Regions from separate parts of the Mus musculus genome. Here all the other regions are reported to be linked to region 1. Evidence: microRNA targets listed by miRTarBase, many of them from high-throughput screens and not tested one by one. Region 1 holds a microRNA gene; each other region holds the end of a gene's coding sequence.
What was found. Region 1 holds the annotated microRNA mmu-miR-466p-3p (AUACAUACACGCACACAUAAGA, at 2,109-2,130, opposite strand). A microRNA usually pairs through its seed, bases 2 to 8, with sites in the 3' UTR of a target mRNA and lowers its output. Matches are read on the target gene's strand: a 7mer-m8 pairs with bases 2 to 8, a 7mer-A1 pairs with bases 2 to 7 and ends in A, and an 8mer does both.

Region 2: the mRNA of Srgap3 is a reported target of mmu-miR-466p-3p. Seed matches in the 3' UTR shown: 7mer-m8 at 713-719.
Region 3: miRTarBase lists Zscan4d as a target of mmu-miR-466p-3p. Seed matches in the 3' UTR shown: 8mer at 2,299-2,306.
Region 4: miRTarBase lists Plxna1 as a target of mmu-miR-466p-3p. Seed matches in the 3' UTR shown: 7mer-m8 at 1,391-1,397.
Region 5: the mRNA of Rbm47 is a reported target of mmu-miR-466p-3p. Seed matches in the 3' UTR shown: 7mer-m8 at 868-874.
Region 6: miRTarBase lists Ybey as a target of mmu-miR-466p-3p. Seed matches in the 3' UTR shown: 7mer-A1 at 2,403-2,409.
Region 7: miRTarBase lists Slc16a10 as a target of mmu-miR-466p-3p. Seed matches in the 3' UTR shown: 7mer-m8 at 1,392-1,398.

Annotation. Positions count from the first base shown.
Region 1 is chr2:10,485,525-10,488,606 of GRCm38, reverse strand. It overlaps Mir466b-4 (microRNA 466b-4), which reads right to left and starts at 2,184; the gene lies at 2,095-2,184. All of the region lies in intron 10 of Sfmbt2 (Scm-like with four mbt domains 2), which reads right to left. It overlaps Mir467a-4 (microRNA 467a-4), which reads right to left and starts at 2,472; the gene lies at 2,390-2,472. It overlaps Mir669a-7 (microRNA 669a-7), which reads right to left and starts at 1,954; the gene lies at 1,868-1,954. It also overlaps Mir467a-5.
Region 2 is chr6:112,720,064-112,723,145 of GRCm38, reverse strand. It overlaps Srgap3 (SLIT-ROBO Rho GTPase activating protein 3), which reads left to right. Exons shown (of 22, transcript NM_080448.4): 22 at 1-3,082. The coding sequence ends at 358. It also overlaps the pseudogene LOC108169181. Among named protein-coding and RNA genes, the nearest start is that of Gm26799, 22 kb to the right of the region's middle.
Region 3 is chr7:11,159,455-11,162,536 of GRCm38, forward strand. Zscan4d (zinc finger and SCAN domain containing 4D) reads right to left here. Exons shown (of 4, transcript NM_001100186.1): 4 at 2,189-3,082. The coding sequence ends at 2,467. Among named protein-coding and RNA genes, the nearest start is that of Zscan4d, 5.2 kb to the right of the region's middle.
Region 4 is chr6:89,316,619-89,319,700 of GRCm38, reverse strand. It overlaps Plxna1 (plexin A1), which reads left to right. Exons shown (of 32, transcript NM_008881.2): 32 at 230-3,082. The coding sequence ends at 325. Among named protein-coding and RNA genes, the nearest start is that of 4930512J16Rik, 32 kb to the right of the region's middle.
Region 5 is chr5:66,016,566-66,019,647 of GRCm38, reverse strand. It overlaps Rbm47 (RNA binding motif protein 47), which reads left to right. Exons shown (of 8, transcript NM_001127382.2): 8 at 212-3,082. The coding sequence ends at 442. Among named protein-coding and RNA genes, the nearest start is that of Gm40310, 7.7 kb to the right of the region's middle.
Region 6 is chr10:76,460,386-76,463,467 of GRCm38, reverse strand. It overlaps Ybey (ybeY metallopeptidase), which reads left to right. Exons shown (of 5, transcript NM_172550.4): 5 at 149-3,082. The coding sequence ends at 235. 2610028H24Rik (RIKEN cDNA 2610028H24 gene) reads right to left here. Exons shown (of 8, transcript NM_029816.2): 8 at 2,250-2,981. Among named protein-coding and RNA genes, the nearest start is that of Mcm3ap, 7.0 kb to the left of the region's middle.
Region 7 is chr10:40,034,502-40,037,583 of GRCm38, reverse strand. Slc16a10 (solute carrier family 16 (monocarboxylic acid transporters), member 10) reads left to right here. Exons shown (of 6, transcript NM_001114332.1): 6 at 180-3,082. The coding sequence ends at 412. Among named protein-coding and RNA genes, the nearest start is that of Mfsd4b1, 11 kb to the right of the region's middle.

The DNA.
Region 1 (3,082 bases):
CAGGCACATACATAGGGGCCATCACATTATTCCAGGATGATCTCTAACTGCTCATGAAGTTAAGCATGAAATTGAACTCCTGATCCTCCTGACACTGTCAATTGTTTACACCTGGTGAGTGAGACCTTCACTGTCCTACTTTATAATCAGCAAAATTCTAAGACATATATCATTCAAATGGATCAATGAGTGTCATTCTTATTTGTGTGAGTGTGCATGCCTGTGTGTGTGACTACATTTGTATGTGTGTGTATTTATATGTATGATCATATAAACACATGTACGTGCACACAAAATTATATGCACTTGTGCATACCTAGGGTCCATCACACAAAAACAGGGTGATCTCTCACTCATTATGAAGTTAAGCATGAATTTGAACTCCTGAGACTCCTAACTCTGGCAAGTGGTTTTCATCTGATAAGAGAGATTTTTCCCTATACCATGAATATACACTCAATGAAACTCTAAGCACGTATAAATCAAAAGGATGACTGCCATGTGTGTTTGTGTGCACATGTATGTTTCCCTAGTTGTGTGTGTGTGTGTGTGTGTGTGTATATATATATATATATATATATATACATATATATATATATATATATGCATGTTCATATACGCGCATGTACACGCACACTTCACCTATACACATAAACACAAACACAGGGAAAATCACATGAATTCCGGGCTGATCTCTAACTCATCATAAAGTTAAACATGAATTTGAATTGCTCATCCTCATGATGCTGGCAAGAGTATTCACCTCCTAACTAAGTCATAGCTCGGGCCATTCGTGGGAGTATGTTTGCATGTGAGTATATGCATATTCATGTACAGAAGTGAATATGTACTCAACTATACACACATGCACATTCTTGGTGGGCATCACATGAATCGCATGCTGAACTCTAACTCATCATGAAGTTAAACATAAATTTGAATTCCTCATCCTGACACTGACAAGAGTGCTCACCTCCTAACTGAGACATAGCTCTGGCCATTCCTATGAATGTGTGTGCATGTGTGTATATGCATATTCATATAGAGAAGTGAATATGCACACAACTATACACACATGCACATTTTTGGTGGGCATAAGATGAATCCCATGCTGATCATGAACTCATCACAAAATTCAGCACGAATTTGAACTCCTGATCCACCTGACTCTGTCAAGGGATTTCTCCTGCTGAGTGAGACCTCTCCCCATTCAGTAATGAGGAATCTTAAAACTCTAAGTCACATATCATTCAAATGGATCGATGAGTTGCATTCATGTTTGTGTGTGTGTTACTGTTTGTGTCTGTGTACATGTATATATTTGTGTAGATAGGTACATCCATATACTCAAATCCACACACAATAGAAACAGATACAGATAGGGATACATAGGGGGCATCACATGAATCCCAGGCATATCTCTAAGTCATCATGAAGTAAAGCATGAATTAGAACTCCTGATCCACAATCTTTCACACCTGGTGAGTAAAACCATTCACTGTCCCACTACTGCATAATCTTGAAAACTTTAAGTCACGTATCATTCAAACGTATAAATGAATGCAATTTTTTCCTGTGTGTGTGTGCTTGCATATACACGTGTGTTTATGTTATGTATATCATGTCAACACATACAATGCACATACAAGTAAGCACACATGCACATACATGGGTTGCATGACATTAATACCAAGATGTCTCCAAATGAAGTTAAGCATGAATTTGCAATCCTTATCCTCCTGACTTTGTCAATCGTTTACACCTGGTGAGTGAGGACATTCAATGCCCCCTATTGCATAATCTCTAAAACTCTACATCACTTATCATTCAAAGGGATTGGCGAATGCCATTCCTGTGTCTGTGTATGTGTGCTTGCGTTTATACGTGTGTGTGTATGTTATGTATATTCAAATATAGACATGAACATGCACACACAACTATACACACATGCACATACATGGAGGAATCACAGGCTGATCTCTCATGAGGATAAGTATGAATTTGAACTCCTGATACTCTTAACTCTAGCAAGCATTTTCACTCTAAGTCACTTATCACTCAAATGGATTGATGAGTGCCATTCCCATGTGTCTGTGTGCTCATATGTGTCTTATGTGTGCGTGTATGTATATGTATATCATATTCACACATGTACATGTACACACACATCAACACATACACACATACATAGGGGCAATCACATGAATGCCAGGATGACCTCTAACTCATCATGCCTTTACCATGAACTTGCACTCCTGATCTTCTCGAATCTACCAAGGGTTTTCCTGTGGTTTGTGAGACCTCACCCTGGCCCAGTCATACATAACCTCCAAAGCAGTAGGTCACATTTCATTCAAATGGATCCGTGAGGGCCATTCCCGCATGTCTGTGTGCATGTGTGTGTAGGTGTGTGTATGTATATGCATAAAATATACACGCATATACATGCAGGCACTTACGCACACAGGCACATACATAGGGGCCATCACATTATTCCAGGATGATCTCTAACTGCTCATGAAGTTAAGCATGAAATTGAACTCCTGATCCTCCTGACACTGACAATTGTTTACACCTGGTGAGTGAGAATATTCACTGTCCCTCTACTTTATAATCAGCAAAATTCTAAGACATAAATCATTCAAATGGATCAATGAGTGTCATTCTTATGTGTGTGAGTGTGCATGCCTGTGTGTGTGAATACATTTGTATGTGTGTGTATTTATATGTATGATCATATACACACATGTACGTGCACACACAATTATATGCACTTGTGCATACCTAGGATCCATCACACAAATACAGGGTGATCTCTAACTCATTATGAAGTTAGCATGAATTTGAACTCCTGAGACTTTTAACTCTGGCAAGTGGTTTTCATCTGATAAGTGACATTATTCCCTATACCATGAATATACACTCAATGAAACTCTAAGCACGTATAAATCAAATGGATGACTGCCATGTGTGTTTGTGTGCACATGAATGTGTCCCTAGTTGTGTGGGTGTATATATATATATATATATATATATATATATATATATATATATATATATGCATGTTCATATACGCGCATGT
Region 2 (3,082 bases), not on the chromosome of region 1:
GAACACTGTCAAGCAGGCACCAGATGTGGTGCTGGACACCCTGGAGCCCCTGAAGAATCCACCAGGCCCCATCAGCTCAGAGCCCGCCAGCCCCCTGCACACCATTGTCATCCGAGACCCTGATGCTGCTATGCGCCGAAGCAGCAGCTCATCGACGGAGATGATGACCACCTTCAAGCCAGCCCTGTCAGCTCGCCTGGCTGGTGCCCAGCTGCGTCCGCCCCCCATGCGTCCGGTCAGACCTGTGGTTCAGCACCGATCCAGCAGCAGCAGCAGCTCAGGTGTGGGCAGCCCGGCAGTGACACCCACGGAGAAGATGTTCCCTAATAGCTCCTCGGACAAGTCTGGCACCATGTGACCTGCAGGACTGGTGACACTGCCATGGCCCACTGCAGCACACCAAGGCCTAGGGTGGCCTTAGTGGCTTCCACTAGCTTCCCAGGGATCTCCTGGCCTTGGAGGGCAGATCCTGGAAGGTCAGCCTGGGAGGGTGTATGTCTGTGGAGAGCAGAGGCCCAGGCGTTAGCTGCAACTCCCGCTCAGCCATGTGAATGCCACAGACCTCTTGTAGGCAAACAGACATGCCAAGGAATGCTGGAGCAAGATCAGTCCCAAGGACAGTGTTTCCTAAGATTGAGGCAGATGCTTACCAGCTTCTCATATTGTCACTGGAAAATTATTCTCTCGATATTCTCTACATACGTATATATGTGTATGTATATAAATACATGCATATATACGCATATGTGTACGTATGTGTCTGTAGGTGTGTGTATATATATATATTTATGCATCTATATACATATACTAGAGAGCTGGACATACACACATGCTAACTGTATATAGACGCTCCTTTTTTTTTTCTTTTTATGAAACTTAGATTTACCTCAGACCCATGCCACCAAACATCTCCCACTCTTACTTGGTGGGATTTGCAGGGACTTCTCTGGGAGAACTTAGAGGCCCCACAGTAACTGCGAACGAAGCAATATACCACTAACCTGCAGAGACACAAAACCAGAAACAGTCTCCAGCTGTCTCCAGAAGTCGTGGCCTTCCAGAACAGTCTGTCTGCCCCTCAAGGAAGGGTGGGGCAGGCAGTACCCCCAAGCAGGCTGCCCCTAAAGGTGGGGAACCCTTCATAGAAAACCCTTCACCCACCCCCCTAGAGACCCTGCCCTGTCACCCGGAGGCCAAAGGTCAACTGTACCCCCAGAAGGCACAGGGGAAGTTGGTGTGAAGACCCTTGAGTTTGTATACTGACTCAGGATGGTGAGATGCTGTGGTTGGGGGTGTGGGGGAGAACAGGAGGAAACAAACAAAACCCAAAACAGTAGTATGGAGTAGTTCAAACCTTACACGTGCTGTAGGGACAAATCTGTGCTGACTGTACAAGTTTTACTTCTCTCATCTTCAAAATATTTAATGGTTTTTTTTTTCCTCCTCGTTCTACTGATTATGCTTTGTCAGATTTGGAACTAAATGGGCAAGGAGGCATTCAGTCACATCATGTCTGTTTGAGAGCAGTCCACACTCTGTTCCCCGCTGGAGCCTCCAGTGCCCAGCCATCCCTTGGCCTCCATCCTAGGAGGACTGTGCTAGGAAGCACCGTAGGCTGGGATGCTATGAAAACGGCAGTGCTCCTCACCCTCCCTTCCCCTCCTCTTCTTCCATTCCTTCTAAAGCAGTTAATGTAGACAAACATGGTGGTAGAAACAAGGTACGTGATTCTGTAGTGTCACAGCAGCCTCCTGCATGGCTCTTGTTTGATTCCGTTTTACCTGCTTTTTTTGTTGTCTCCATTTTCCAGATATTTCCAGAATTGTTGGATAATGCACCACAGGCGAATCAAATCCTAGTGGGACCATTTCTACTCTCCCTCTGCATGCCAAACCAACCAAGGATATCTCCTTCTCCTCTTCCTCCTCCTCCTCCTCCTCCTCCTCCTCCTCCTCCTCCTCTTCTCTCTCTCTCTCTCTCTCTCTCTCTCTCTCTCTCACACACACACACACACACACACACACACACACACACACACACACACTGGCTGGTTCTCTGCCTACCTCCAAGTTTTACAATCCACAATCTGGAATCTGTGTCACAGCCCCCACAGGAGCCCTGTGACCCATAGCTACACCACTCCTGTCACCTACAGATGCTTTGAAGTGCCATCCTTGGCATTTCTTCCCTTTGGGTTTACTTCCACCATTTCTTGGGTCCTCCATTGAAAGGAATCTTGACCGCTTCCCCAGGGAGGGACCTAGTGAGTCATTGGTCCTTGAGTGTGGGGAGAATCACCCATTCTGCCTTGCCTGTACGATCAGCACTGAGTACACTGTGGAATCAAGAATGGGCTCCAAATGAGAATGCCAGGAAGATGCCCGAACCATCAAGCCTCCCCTTCCCTCTCAACTCCTGCTGTGATGGGCCCTCTGTTTTTTGAGCACATAAAGATATCTCCATTTTATAGTTGAAGACAGTAAGGCCTGGGGGTGGGAGGACTGGGACCTGCACAAGATATGCCAGATGGCCTAGTGGGCTGCATTGGGCTCAGGAAGCCCTCATTTCCAGGAATCTGCTATCTCTGCTATGCATCCGGGAGATAAGACTTCTTTTTTGTATCCCAGGGCTATTTCCAGATTTTTAAGTCCACTCACCTCCCAGGCAAAAATGCAATATTCTCTGCCTGGATACCAGATAGAAGCAAAATTGAGTTTACAAATCTATTACCGGACACACCTATTGCCAGTTACGCTGTGCAGATTTGTCTCTGGGTTGACTTATTTCATTTTCCTTACTGCCTCTCCCCCAAATGTCCCAAGAGCAGAGCCTCAGCTGTTTTCCTTAAGCATCTATCTTTCCCCCATTGGCAAGTGGCTGATGAATTCACATTTAGGGAAGCACACACACAGATGGCAGATGAGTCCCCAGCTCTTCCAACCCCCAATCTGAGCTTTGATGCAGAACAAATGGAAAAGCACTGTCCACCCCCATCCCCAACACACTTCTTCATCTGGTCCCCTTGCATGTCTCAGCCACCCCCAGGTCCCAACTCAGCCCCAACTCAGTCCCATCGGTGTCT
Region 3 (3,082 bases), not on the chromosome of region 1:
TGGTTCTCAACATTTTAAATTCTGCACCCCTGTAATGCAGTTCCTCATGCTGGGATGAATCCCAACCACAAAGACATGTTTGTTGCTACTTGATAACTATAATTGTGCAAATTTTATGAAATGTAATGTAAATATCTGACATTAAACCTTATGAGCATGTCATCTAGCCACAATGAGGTTTCCTCACATAGGTTCAGAAACCTGTTATTGAAAGTTGGCCACAGAATCAGAGATATGCCACTGCCCCTGCCTATGCCTATGTATAGGCACCTGCCCTGCCCAGGCCTAAGTACCTGCCTCTGCCTTTATACACTGCTGGAATTAAGGTATTGTAACACCATTTTCTCAGGTTTGTGTGAGATGGTGTTTTGAGGGTTTTTTTTTGTTTGTTTGTTTGGTTTTTTTTGTTTTTGGTATTTGTGTTGTTTGTTTGTTTGTTTTTCCTGTTTTAGGTGGTGGTGATGATGGTAGGCTACTTATTTATTTTATCATTTTGTTTTTAGGAAAGATATGTTGTGAGTCTTTTAACAGAGAATGATTGGATTCTAGTGTTCCTGCTGACAGATGCCAGGTACAAGGATTGCAGGGATTCTCCATATCTGGATAGCACAGTGTTATCATCTGAATTCTACCTATGATGCTTACCTGTACAAGGCTTAATCCCTAACCTTAGGATGCAACCTTATTTGAATATGGCACTGAAGCTAATCCAAACCTCTGAAATCCTGCAAAGGCTATAATCTCAAAATATAGAAAGCTAAACTAAACCAAAAACTCAAATCCATTAAACGTTAATGTTGAAACAATGAGGAACAAAATTATCCAACTTCACTAGAAAAATAAAGACCGGAAAACGAGGCAAATCAAAAGGGTTAGAGAACCAAATGCTGGTGACTCGGTCCAGAACAAGCAATGCCAGCAATAAAATCCTAGGTGGGGAAATGTATAACTTGTGTTGGTATTCATGTCAGCTAAGGCCATTGTGTACTTTTTTTAATATATATCTATTATGATATATTTTCCTCAACTACATTTCCATTGCTATCCCAAAAGTCCCCCATACACTCCCCCCCACTTCCCTACCCACCCATTCCCATTTTCTTTTTGTTTTTTTGGCCCTGGCGTTTCCCTGTACTGGGGCATATAAAGTTTGCATGTCCAATGAGCCTCTCTTTCCAGTGATGGCCGACTAGGCCATCTTTAAATACATATGTAGCTAGAGTCAAGAGCTCCGGGGTACTGGTTATTTCATAATGTTGTTCCACCTATAGGGTTGCAGATCCCTTTAGCTCCTTGGGTCCTTTCTCTAGCTCCTCCCTTGGGAGCACTGTGATCCATCCACTAGTTGACTGTGAGCATCCACTTCTGTGTTTGCTAGGCCCCAGCATAGTCTCAAAAGAGACAGCTATATCTGGGTCATTTCAGCAAAATCTTGCTAGTGTATGAAATGGTGTCAGCATTTGGAAGCTGATTATGGATACTGATCATTGTGTACTTTTAAAACTGAAGCCTTCTAATTGCCTGCTGAAAGGTATCACCAGGAACATCGTGGCAAAGTCATAATGCATCCTCAATGTTTCTACCTGATATGGGAACTTACATAACTCATGGGAATTGCAAGCGCACATACACAGACCCCAACAACTCAATTAGCCTGTGCCTGTTGTCTTCAACTCTGCACAGAATCCTGTTTCTCAACATGACTCTTATGCCACTTCACATTCTTAACATTAGTTTTTTGAAAGTTATTCATGGAAAAAGACTTGCTTTTGTCAGCTATTTTTCATCATGTGAGACAAGTATCCATAAATCCTGCTCCTTGAACCAAGTGCATAGGTGCTCTGAAACCAGAGCTACACAGAATGTCGGGAGAATGATAATTGAACAGGTAGGGGAGGACCCACCAAACTACTCTGAGCAATTGTTGATTATTTTTTTATTTATTATTCCACTTTGAACGTCATTCTAGTAATGTAGAGAAATATTCTTGAACTGTAAGCAGTAGACATGACATGAGATGTCTGAAGAGGCAATGCATTTAACTTGCAACCCTAAGACTTGGGATGAAACCCCAACATGTTAAAAAATGTCAGAGGGAATGGCAGGCCTCTGTCAGGACCACTGTAGAGAATAAAAGTGGAGATCAGAAAATGTTTGGAAACTCTAGTGCCAGAAAGACAGGTGTATAAAGCTGCCAACCAGAAAGACACTGTCTAAAAGCAAGAAGCAACTCAAGAATTAACAGCAAAGTATTCTAATAACTTATGCTGTGGAACTATGGAAATTACAGACAAAAAATTACATACACACACACACACAATAAAAAACAAAACATAAAAGTGGCAATCCACAAGCATGTTATATCATTATTGGGACAGTACAATTTACTTGCAACATTCTTCTCTCTTTGAAGATGACATACTGAGGCTGAAGCCCTACCAGTCTCTGCTGAGGATGTTAGATACTTCAGTCAGATCTGTGGTAATTCCTCAGGTGACGATGGTAAGTGGATGATTGGCGAAAGCGACGGCTACATAGGGAACAGACATAAGGCATTTCTCCTGTGTGAATCATCTCATGAGACTTCAGGTTGGTCTTGTGGCTGAAGGACTTTTCACATGTGCTGCACTTGAAAGGCTTTTCTGGCATGTGTATGATCTCATGGGTTCGGCGGTCAGAGACTCGTTTGAACATTTTCTGACAGGTGACACAAAGCAATTCACTCTTCTTATTCAGGTGAGTTCTCTGGTGGGACGAAAGGCTCCTGGCATGTTTGAACATCCTAGAACATTCTTCACACTTGAATAGTTTGGCATCTCTACGGAATCTCTTTTGATGACTTTCACATGGTAAGTTTGCCTCATGATCCTTACCAAGAAAGACAGGATCAGAGATAGGCTCCTCTTGCCTAGACTCCAACCCTGGTAGCTCCCTAGGGTCTTTTTCAGAAAAACATTCCCCAAGTGACTCTTGCAAGCATGTAGATGTTCCTTGACTTGCTCTTGTAGAATCCTGAGGAACTCCATAAGGAATATCTCCCTCCTCAGGCTCAGAATGATATATTCTCTTGTTAATGGAAAGG
Region 4 (3,082 bases), not on the chromosome of region 1:
CACAGCCTGTTGATGAGGGAGATGAGGGTGGAGGTAATGAGCTTGGGGGCTCACCCTCAAGTGCTGTAGTACTCTGGATCAGAACTGTTGGCACAGCTAGGAACTGGGAGTCAGACACACCAAGGTCATGTGTCTTGGTCCAGCTGCTTCCCTTAGAGCTTCCAGCCCATATCTGTGGGTAGCTAACCCTGACTCTGACCCTATCCCACCCCTCACCCCACCCTTGCAGATTCTGGTGGCTCTGGAGAAAGATGAACAGGCTCGAAGGCAGCGGCTTCGAAGCAAACTGGAGCAGGTGGTGGACACAATGGCCCTGAGCAGCTGAGCCCTGGAAGTGCCCACCCAGCAGGAGGCAGAGCAGGAGGGCAGCAGAGGACCCAGGAGACAGCCCTTGGCCCACCTGTACCAAGTCCAGGTGTGGGGGCTGTGGTTGGGTCCTGGCCCTCGCCTTCCTCTCCCTGCCATGCAGGGCCAATTCTTATCGCTGTGGATGTAAGGGTTCCTGCTGAGCCGCCTCTGTGCCTGGGGCTTGCTGCCGTGGGGCAAGGATAGCACAGCGTGGCTGGTTCTGCCCAGGGATATTTGCTGCTTGGCAAGAGCTGCTAGTGGTTTTCCTGAGAGAGAGGTGGCCTCTGAGGGGCCGAGATAGAAGGCCAGGCCCTCCAGAAGGAGGGCAGCAGGACAAGGGGCTGGACCAATTCACATTTCTTGGCTTCTTCAGCTGCTACCAGCAGGCAGAGTCTGAGGGAGAGGTGAGATACCCAAGGCTAGGCCACATAAGTCACAGCCTGGGGCTGTCCCACCAGCCTCTACTCTAGCACCCTGTGCTTGCCACCACCCTCAGATTCACCGCGTGCTCTGCGCGGCCAAGGCTGGAGTGCCACATCCTTCTGCTGGGGAGAGAGGCCCCACTCCCCTCCTATGGAGGGCCTGCAGACCCCACTTCCAAGTGACATGTGGACAATGGCTAGGCGAACCCTTCTCTGTCCTCAGGGCTGTGCCTCTGGGAGCTCCTGGTCCTGGGGCTCCAGTCAGAGTGCATGTTCCCGTTATTTATTCCCCGCCTCCTGCTCCTATCGCAGCCCACCACGGAGCTCTGGAGGATAACAGGCCACCGTCCCACCATCCTTTATCCTCCCCTCCCCTGATGTTCCCGGTGGCTTCCAGTCTGGCCTCTCAACGGTGTCCTGGCCCCTCTGCAGTGGGACATCTGGGTACTGCTTTTAAGGGAACAAGAAATCCTGTGGTATTTTGCCCTGGGGATGTGGGGGGCATTTCTGCCACCCTGCTGACCATGGGCAGTGACCCAAGGGACTGGAGGTCAACTGTGTCCACCTCTGCCCTCAAGGAGCAACAGTACGTTTTTAATGGACCCTGTACATATATATATGTATGTATGTGTATATATATATATGTGTGTGTGGCCCTGGCCCCAATGGGGTGCTGTACAATTATTTGAGGGAAGAGACACGGAAAGGCAATTCAGGAGGAACCCAGGTGGAAGAGAGCAAAACCAAGGGCCCTGGAGCTGCCATCTGATGTGGCCTCTACTTCCCCCAGATGGAAGAAGCCGCTGCCCACGATTCCGTGCCCCGAGCTTTGGGTGCAGAGCTGTGGACCTGCATGACTGTGCTAGCGTTTAGTCTGAGTTGATCTTTTCAAACTGCAAGTGTTGAATACTAGAGGTGGTTAGACCCTTTTTTTAAATGTTTTTTTTTTAATTAGTCATTGGAAAAGCAAGCAAGCGGCCTACTCCCTTTTCAAGTTCACCTTTTTGATGGTACTAAAGATTATAATGGATTTTAAGGGACAGCTAACTGTGGCCAGGACCATTATCAGTGCTGGGGACAGCACACCCCACATCCATGGGCTGCTAGTCTTGTGGTCCCTCACACTCCAAGCTAGGGAGCCGATGGGACAGGGTGGAGGTCAGATTAGAGCTGCACCTTTATTAGCTATGGGGCAGGTACAAGGACTCAGGGAGCAACTCCTCTGTGGTAGTCATGAGCCTAGACACCCTGGGCCATGAATTCTGGTCAGACTCCCACCCCAACTCTTTGGCTCATTCCCTGGGCTGATACTAGGGTCAGAGCCTGGATATAGCCGTTTCTCAGAAGCCCCTGTTGTTGCCTGGGGTTTTACCCATGGATATACCCCTCTCTTCCTTCTGATGCCTCCAGGCTGTGCCTGGGTGGGAGCCTCAGTTTCCCCTAAAGTCTTCCCTGGTTGTAGGCTTCAGATGGAAGCCCCCAGTTCTTCCAGCTCTGCCTGGAACACGCACAGCTTCTAGGCTCAATGCCTTCACTATCCAGCCCCACGTCCCCAGGCTCCCTCAGAATAGGCCAGCCTCACTTTGTCCTACAGGCCACCTTGCCCATGTGGGTGTCAGGTAGGAGGTGAGGTGGCCTGGAGCAGCTTCCCAGGGTGTTTGTTCGCAAGCACTTTAGCATTTCTGTTTACATGCGAACTGCCCTAGCTGTTCTTACCACGCATCTTCTCGGCACAGCCATCAGGGCCAGGCCTCATTTCCCTGCTACTTCTGGACTGGGCTCTGACATCTGCTTGTCCTTGGTCTTCTAGAGCCATCCATCTCTGTGGTATCCTGCAAAGGGTTCCGTTTCAGCCTCAATATGGCTTGGGGTTGGAGCCAACTGCACACTGGGTGGTGGATGCTCAGAGCCACCCTCTACAGGCCTAGGGCCCAGGGAGGTGGGCAAGCACTACTCCAGCCAGCCTGGCCCTAACACTCTTGGTACTGCCGTCCTGCCATGGGCCCCATCCCCCTTCCTGCCTGGTCTTTCCCTTTGCACCTGGACTCAGGAGTGCCTGGGCCATTCCAAGCTGGGCCTGGGTGCCTGGCCTCCACATGCCTTGGGCTGGCTCTGCTCTCCAGCTGCCCCACTCTCTTATGGTTGGACAGCTAGACAGAGCAGCAGGGGTGAGGGCCTTGATGTGTCCCCAAGAGACACTGCATTGAGTCCAGGCACAGGCCAGCAACCTCTGTTGGTTCAGAGGGGTCCGACTGCCACCCTCTACTCCAGTTTCCCCAGTTGGATCTGGTGGCTCACATCGGTGCTACACA
Region 5 (3,082 bases), not on the chromosome of region 1:
GCTTTGACAGGAGTCTGAACACTACTAAGTTTGAGCGCATCAAGCCCTTCAAGGATGGCTATTTGCTCTGACTAATCTCTTTCTTCTGTACTGTCACTCACCTGCCTCCCTACCTTGATGTCTTCTTTCCCTCCCCACTGGGGTGCTTATTATTCTAATAGATGACGAACCTGCTCAGGAAGGACTTCAGTCTTGTCTGTTTGTCTCTCAGGGCCGTCCAATAACTCCTGTGTACACCGTGGCACCAAATGTTCAGAGAATCCCCACCGCCGGCATCTACGGGGCCAGCTACGTCCCCTTTGCTGCTCCCGCCACTGCCACAATCGCCACACTACAGAAGAACGCCGCGGCTGCCGTGTATGGGGGCTACGCCGGCTACATACCTCAGGCCTTCCCCGCTGCTCTCCAGGTGCCCATCCACGACGTCTACCAGACTTACTGAGAACGGGGGACCGGAGCCAAGGCAAGCCACCAAACCCCGCTGAAGGAACACTTTATTATTTATGAAGAAAGAACGTGTCGGGTTGGTACACGTGCAAAACCTGCAGGTGAAGAAGAATGTTATCAAATAGCACACTGAAATATTTTATTATATCCATGAAGTTTTCACTCGCTTTTTTTTTTTTTTTTTTTTTTTTTGAAAATGACTTTTCAACTTAGCAGGCCCGCGTTCATACATTTCTAAAAGACTTGCGACGCCTCACGCCTTAATGCCATCTCTTAAAGTTTGTATGCTCTTCTGCTTTTGTACAGAGGTTTGGTTTTTTGTTTTTTAAGGATATATTTTCAGTATGAAGGTTATTTTCTTAACTTCTGCACTCCAGAGTTTTCTATTTTGTAGAACCTTTCAAAGTATATCAGCTATATGTATGTATATCAAAAAAAAAAAAAAAAAAAAGCACACCCGCGCATCTAGGGAACTATTTTGAAAACTATATTCAATATTTAAAGACACAAACTGTAGTGCTCTGAAATACTACATAAAACATTATTTTATTTTTTAAAGTGATGCTGGAAAGTGCAATTTTAAAATGAGGAAAAAAAAAGTCTCTACTGTATTTCCACTGGCATTAAGGGTTGACGATAATGCCATTTATTCTTGTCATGTTTTCTGGGTTTATGGGGTTTTGGTTTGGTTTGGGGTTTTTGTTGTTGTTGTTGTTTTGTTTTGTTTTTAATAACACTCTGTTCTTAAGCCAACATGGAAAAGACTCCTCACATCCAGAGTCCCAACACTGGAAAGCTCTGACCTGCCCTCACTACCTTGGGCTCTCTCTCCTGAGTCCTTAGTAACTGTGCCCCGCCCCCGCCCCGCCGTGCCCCGCCCCGCCCTTCTCCTTCCCTAGCTCCAGTGCAACTTTGGCATATCTAAGAAAAATGGATAATTCCAATAGAGAAGACAACTGATGCCTTTTATACTTCTTCCTGGGATTGTGTTGGGGTCTTTTTAATTATTTTTGGTTTGTTTAGGGCGTCTTTTTAATTATCTTTGTTAATTATATTTGGTTTGTTCTATGTGTATCTTCAGTAGCAGAATACACATTAAGGACAAGATTTTACCATCTTTGCCTAAGGCATCTCTGCATAGCTATTTAATTGTTCAGTATGAAACCTGACCTTTCTAATTCTTTGACTTTTTTTTTTTGAAGTCTGGGTTTTTAGAGACCAAGAATGTATGTGATTATAGACAAGACTTGTCAGTGGGAAGTTAAGCTTCTCGCTGCCTTTCTTTCTCCTGTGTTTCCTACAGAATGCCTGGTGCCATCAGGGATGTCGGAAGCCCTGTGTTTGTTTAGCAGGGCTTCCCGCCGTTGCTCTGCATTTGGTAGGTGAACACGGGCAGGTGAACACGGGCATACACATCCAGGAGAAGTCTCTGTAGGAGTTTAAGGGTAGATTGTAAATAACTTCTGACGCTTGCTCGCCAAAGTTGCCAAGTTCATGGCCTGTAGTGTAATGCGAAATGCAGCCATTTTATTTCAATGTTATTCAAAGTGTTTGCCTTTTTTTTTTTTTTTTCTTTTTTGGAAGTAAATGCACAGATGCTGGGTTTTGTGCCTGTTTTAAGGCTTTTCTTTGGCAGAGTGAATGTAAAATACAGTAGAAAAGATAATATCGTCATCTCTTTTATGAATTATATCAACTTACATCTTTTTAAGAAGGCTCAGTCCAGGATGTGAGGTGTGCAATAAGGGTAGCAGATGCACAGTTGTGTTTCATGGCATGACAGAGTCCATCCAATCTCCCTTCCCATCAGAGTTTTGCTAATAGGCTTAACTCTTATTTGTGGACTAATAGTAGGATCTTGCCCTCAGCAAACGCTTTCTGCTTTTAAATTAAGAGAGTCCCAATTGTCTTTTTTTTTTCTGCCTCCCCCCCACTTTATCTTGACGGGATGGATTTTATATATATAAGAAATATTTATTTAACTATTCTATAGAATTATCGAGTGCCTGCTAAGACCTTTAAGCATCCCTCCTTCCTTATTGCGTGGTATAGAGCAGCTGGGAGAGTGAGAGGCGTCACTCGGGAAGCTGCAGCCACACGGGCCTGTTGGAATGAGTGACCTCCTTAAAGGTATCAGGTCCTCATCCCTTGACTGGTGAGGAAAAAGTGCCTTCCTGCCGGCCACGGACTGACATGGAGGTCTTCGGATGAGCCCGGATGCCCATGTTCTTACTGTATTTTACAAGTGCCTGGGGAAATATTTTCAAAAATAATATTAATAATTTAAAAAAAAGGAAAAACTATGCACTAACTTAACGTGGCGACTACCTTAACGGCAGGCGTTGGTGGCAGCCAGTTAAGCACCAGTGTCTCTGCAGTCTGTGGCCTTAGCTGTCCCTCTTGTTTCTCAACCATTTCACGTACACTACTGAGGTAAGTTTATAACTTGAAATGTGAACTTTTTTTTTTTTTTAGGATTAAGAACAAACTAATATAAATGTTTTTAAAAGTTTTAGTGTTTGGGTTTTAGTCATGCTACTAGTTTAGTTTTTAGCTTCGTATTTGAAAAGCTTTTTAGATCTCGCTGCATTTACATACAGTACATTCTTAAGATGTATGTGGTAAATAAAGCTTT
Region 6 (3,082 bases), not on the chromosome of region 1:
GTCTCTGTTCAGGTGCTGCTGATAGACTTGTGCAGAGCCTGGGGGAGCGGCTAGGGGGGCTTCAGAAGGAGGTGAACCCTGGGAGGACTCGGACTCGGGACAAGGGTCCCCAGAGTCCCTCCAGAGCTTGTGCTCTGCTGTGTTCCAGATGTACAACCAGGAGAAGCTGGTGCTGGAGGAGCTGAGCCGCTACACGGGAGCTAGGCTCCAACCCCTGAGCAGGGGCCTCTACTGATGCCACAGAGCTTTGAGACAGAGAACTTGTTGGACAGAGTCCCGTCCCTCTGCAAGACTCCAGGGAGCCTCTGCTTACCAGGGAGCCCCTGAGTGGACCACGTGGAGCCGGAATAGATGCAAAAAGCAAGAGGAATTTTTGTTCCAGTGCACTGGGGTCTTCCCAGACCCGAAGGAGAGGCGGCGACCCCCAGCACCCATTCAGGGAGTTTTTATATGGTTTCCAGGGGCAGAAGAGAGCATCAGCAACTAGGCACAACGTGATTGGCGGAGCAGTGCACCCTTTAAACTGATTGGTCTTTAGGGAATGAAGTGACAAGGACGTCCCTTGTCTGAAGGTGTCCTGCAGGATGTGTCCCCACCCACAGGGCAGTTCTGCCCTAAGGTCTGAGAAATGTTAATTAGCCTCTTCCTTCTGGAGGGGCAAGTGTTTCATGACCTTCCCAAACTTCCTAAGCTGGCCTTTTTACCTCCACAGTGGATCTCTGCTGGTCCTGTTGCCCTGGAGGGCCTCAGCCCACACTACAGCTTCACTCTGTGAGTGGACCAAGTACCAAGGAAGTGCCTGTCAGCCCTTACTCTGATTAGAAATCTATGCGGACTCTGTTGTAAGCAGAATCAGGCGTTCTAAGAGAAGAAACATGGACGCTCTTGTGCTTCTTTGGGTTTCTAGCTGTAGAGTCTGGGCAGATTGCCTTGTCTCCCTGAAGTGGGAGGAACGTGCCAGAACACTGAAGCCTGTTCTCCTAGGAGGAGGCGCCTGCAGACCAGCAAGCCCAAAAGGACACCTTGTGCCCTCGCCTTTCTTAAGCTGTTGGCTGCAGACACCACGGGACAGCCCACAGACCTTGTCTCCTGGGGCCAGAGAGTCAGGAGTGTCCCCCATCTGTGTTGCTGTTTGTAATTGTTTTAGATGACCTTTATTTTATTTGGAGCAGGGCAGTGGTGGCACACGCCTTTAGTCCCAGCACTTGGGAGGCAGAGGCAGGCGGATTTCTGAGTTCGAGGCCAGCCTGGTCTACAAAGTGAGTTCCAGGACAGCCAGGGCTACACAGAGAAACCCTGTCTCGAAAAACCAAAAAAAAAAAGGATTTTATTTGGTGTGTGTCATGTGTGGGTACACATTTCCCACTGCGGGGGGTGGGGTGGTCAGCTGGGGGGAGATGTCTCTCTCGTTTATTATTTTGTCCCCAGAGATGGAACTCTGGTTGTCAGCCTTGCCATCCCACTGACATCCTGCAGGCCACCGTAGTCCTGCCACTGGGGCTCCCCTATTGGCTGTTAGAGGCATGGTAGTTCTGCTCAAGGCCTGGAACATGGAATTCTGGTGACCTGAAGTCTAGTTCAAAGCAACATGCAAATGTCTGTGCAAATCTGGATCACGAGAGTCTTCCCAGCAGGTAGCCAGGGACCTTGAACCTAGATAGGGTTTCCTGACCCCTCTGCTGGGTGTACCCGCATATACACCTATGCCAGCCTGTTCCCTTCTTCTCGGCCATCTAACTGGTTCCTCGCCTTTGAGCATCCTTAAGGAATGACTGCTTCTGTGCCCTTCATTTTTCTATTTCCCTTTTTCTCTGCTTGGTATTTCTGGTTTAATTTGGTGGGGTTTTTGGTTTTTTTGGTTTTTTGGGGGGTTTTTTTGTTTTTTTTTTTTGTTTTTGTTTTTGGTTTGGTTTGACCTTGCAGCTCTGGGCATGGAATCCAGGATCTTGTCAGGCTTGGCAAGGCTCTGCCACATTCCCAGCCTGTTGCTCAGCTGCCCTAAATCTGTGGGTTGGTCAGCAGCTGTCTCTGAGTCCAGCCACATTGTTATGATGACTCCAAGCCTGAGGGGGCACTATCTGCCCTGTTCCAGGAGGCACAGCATCCTCACTTGGGGCTTCCTCACTTTGTGTTTATTCCAGATTTCATTTCGTCCCTCACTTCCCTGAAGGGCCTGTGATGTTTTTTAATTTTTAAAAAAGATTTACTTGGGTATGGGGGACTTTTGGTATAGCATTGGAAATGTAAATGAGCTAAATACCTAATAAAAAAAAGATTTACTTATTTTATGTATATGAGTACACTGTAGATGGTTGTGAGCCATCGTGTGATTGCTGGGAATTGAACTTAGGATTTCTGCTCGTTCCGGCCCTGCTCGCTCCAGCCCAAAGATTTATTAATTATATGTAAGTACACTGTAGCTGTCTTCAGATAAACCAGAAGAGGGCGTCAGATCTCATTACAGATGGTTGTGAGCCACTGCGTGGTTTCTGGGATTTGAACTCGACCTTCAGAAGAGCAGTCAGTGCTCTTAACCGCTGAGCCATCTCTCCAGCTGGGGCCTGTGATCTTGATGAGAGTTTCATGGACTCTGTGGATTGGCCGCTCACACACTTGAGCCATCTTTAAAATCTCTGGGGCGTACTGTGCATCTTCTCAGAGTAAAGTTGTGCACAGTGGTGCAGTCCCTGTCACCACTGTTAAGGGGCATGGCCAGGAGAAGCTTTTCCCTGAGTCACTGGGGACCCCCTAAGCCCACTACAGGGCCTGCTCAGACTCTTTAGTCTCCCACAGGTGGTCCTCAGACAGCAGGCTTGAAAGGGACGGGGAAGACTGTGTGTGAGGGTGGGTCCATGTACACTCCCATAGCTTCCAGAGGCTGATGGTGCTCCCAGAGCCAGGATGCTCCCAGGCTACTTCCTCCTTGTTAGCCCAGCATTGCCAGGCCATCTGAGACAAAACATCTGCCAAATATCTTCCTTCTATCAGATCAATAATCATATGAGAGGAAAATCGTGTTAGAAACATCATCTAGGAAGGAAATTATGTGAGCTCTTTAACTGGTGCTTTTAACAAAACCAAG
Region 7 (3,082 bases), not on the chromosome of region 1:
TGGTATTTTGGTATGACCTGTATTCTGCAGTAAAATTTAAAATCAGAGGATTTTTTTTTTCCTTCCTCATATCAGAAAACGTTTACATTTCAAATCTGTGATCTGAGCCTGCGATCAGTGTGACTGATCTGGGAGCCAGACTTGTTCCTCTGTCTGACGGCTGCTGTCTGCTCTTCCAGGGTTACTTCATGACAAGCTGGGCACCTACGACGTGGCCTTTTACCTTGCTGGAATCCCTCCCTTCGTTGGGGGTGTTGTGCTCTGTTTAATCCCGTGGATCCATAGCAAGAAGCAAAGAAAGATCAGTAAGAACGCCGGAGGGGAGAAGATGGAGAAAATGCTGGAGAACCAGAGCTCTCTACTGTCAGGCTCATCAGGAATCTTCAAAAAAGACTCCGCCTCGATTATTTAATGCCGTACATACCTCACCTCACGGGATTTGCTTTTGAATTTTAAGCCAGTTTTCCTTTTTATATGAATTGCAGATTTCTTATTTTTTTAATCATCCTTGGAATAGCACAAATGGGACATGAGCCCTTTATTATGACAAGAGCCATCTCTCTCCCAAGCAGCTTTGGTATTCCCACGAGTAAGGGGGAGACTGTCACAGGCAAGCACGTCTGGAAATCCAGCGTGAGCGTTCAGAGCTCCGAGGAAGGAGCAGCCTTGGCAGCCTCAGATGCTGTCAGCTGCTGCGTGCTTTGAACGTGCTTGGAGCTGCGCTGGGTGGGCAGCTCCGGGCTCCTCCGCACCGGAAACATTTTGTCAGTCCCTCTTGGTATCTTTTGTTCCACTGTGTTACTTTCTCCTTCATTTTTGGAATTTAAGCCTAGATCCTAGATAATAAGAGGCCAACCTAAACCTTGAGTCTGTTAAATGACTTAAGCTATGAAATTAGGAGGTTCTTACATGCTGTAGTCAAGGGACCTCCTGGGAGCAGATGCTACTGCTACCACAGTGGACATGGGGGAGAGAAAGGCCCTCTTGTAGGCGGCAATCAGGTGTTTCTTCCACCAACCTTTGTTCCCTTTGGTTTGTAGTGTGTTTTACTCCAGTAGCCAGAAACACCCCAAATTTCTGATTTTATATAAACAATAAAGTGAAGTAGAATGTATAAAAGATATCCTGGCAATTTTATCAGAGTTTTTCTGACTTCTGGGTTTATTAGCACTATGTTTGAGTGTTTTGTTGAGCGTATTATCAGCTGGTGGAGTGGACACAGATTGGAAGTTCTGTCCATTAGAAAATGTCTGATAGAAATAATTGCTTAAACTGATTTATGGAACTAATGATTTTTTTGGAACTAATGATTTTAAAATGTTAAATATATTTATAAGAAGCCCAATTTCTAATTTTTCCAAATTTTTTTTTTTTAGCAAAACTTTGCATTTGTATGTACAGTCTTGTGATATGCCAAGGAGCCTGACGGCCGGTGCTTTCCCAGCCTGCCTCTTGTGGAGTTTACGTACACAGACTGAGAGACTCCATTGTAACTAGGTGATACAATCTTTCTGCACAGCATCGAGTATGCTCCTTCCTCTTCTTTGGCCAGAAAATTAGTGTAGTATTTATTTATTGATTACCTCCATTGTCCCCCGTTTATGTCCCAACTGTAAGAAAGCTTTGAGGATCTAAAATTAAAACCAAAGTTGGGCCGTGACCCATTACTCATTTATCAAAGCAGGAACACACTGTTATATCTTTGAAATTGTATGTTAGACTTTAAAGGTTAAAATGCCAAGTATTCTTAAATCATTAGCCTCGATGACTGTTAGAGTGGAACGTAGCTTGCTTGTTCATGGGAGAAGAATGCTATCTTTTCCTAAGCACTTGCAGGGTCCTTCTGTTTCTAAGTTATCTGGAAGGTGAGACTTAATTTTATCATCTCCCTACTCAGCATTCCCTTTCTGTTGCATATAAAAGGCCGACCTCCCTCTCTCCATCTGTCAAGGGCGGGCTGCCTGGAGACAGTATAGACTCATTTTTGTTGGGAGTGGGGGTAGAGGTCTGGAGGGAAGAGGGGCTAGGAGTTGAAAGATGGAAGCTCTTCCTCTTAATTACAGCTTGCTTACCTATTGTCTTGTAAGAGCTCACAGCCTAAATGCTAAGTGTACACGTTCTTTTAATGGGTTTTGAATAATTGTAATTTATTTATTATTTATTTATTGTGATGCGGAGCCTAAGTAGATCTGACTGGCCTTCAGCTCCTGTCTGTTGCTTCAGACCTGTGTTAGGATGCAGCGGTGTGCTACCATGTGTGTCAAAAAGTTTGATTTTGAAGACCCAAGCTGGCATGGAACTCACCATGTAGCCCAGGCTAGCCTCAAACAAACTCACAAAGCTCTTTTAGGTGTTTTTGAAGCAGGCTTGGTTGTGGCCCAGCAGGGAGTTGGAACTTGAGGTCCTCCTGCTTCAGCTTCTTACACAGAGGGATCCCAGAGTGTGCCACCACCGCCAGCGTCACCGCCAGCGTCACTCACTGCCGACAGGTGCTTCTGTTTTAAATTGACAAAGGGGTTTTAGCAATTTGTTTGCAGTAAGATCTCTTTCAGGAGGGAAAATATTTTAACCATATTGGCCTTTCTTGTTCTTTTCTTTCTTGTTTTAGATAAAGTTTTACTAAGTAGACCTGGCAGGCCTGGAGCTCACAGAGACATGCCAGCCTCAGCCTCCCAAGTGCTGGGGTTCAAGGGCGGGCACACCACCATGTGGGCTCTCTTCCATGGGCTTATATTGTACATCTGAGAAGTTTTGCCTATGAAGTTATTACTGAGTTCGAATATATGGAAGTGTCTGATTGTTGCTAATGCTTAATGATTTAAGGTTTATTTACAAGAAAATGATCATCAAATCCAGTCTTGTGATGAACATGGCCTCCCAACAGAGTAACTTTAAAAAAAAAGTCCCTTCTCAGGGTATCTAGCACAGAGTGGATGTTTAAAATCACTCATGGGTGAGGATATGGCATAGAGGTAGGGAGCTCTCCCAACAGTCCGAAGCCCCAGCCAGCCAGACTCACTTCAAGGAGTAAAAATGAACAACAACAAAAAGGGCATATAGAAACTTTAACTGGATTTGATTA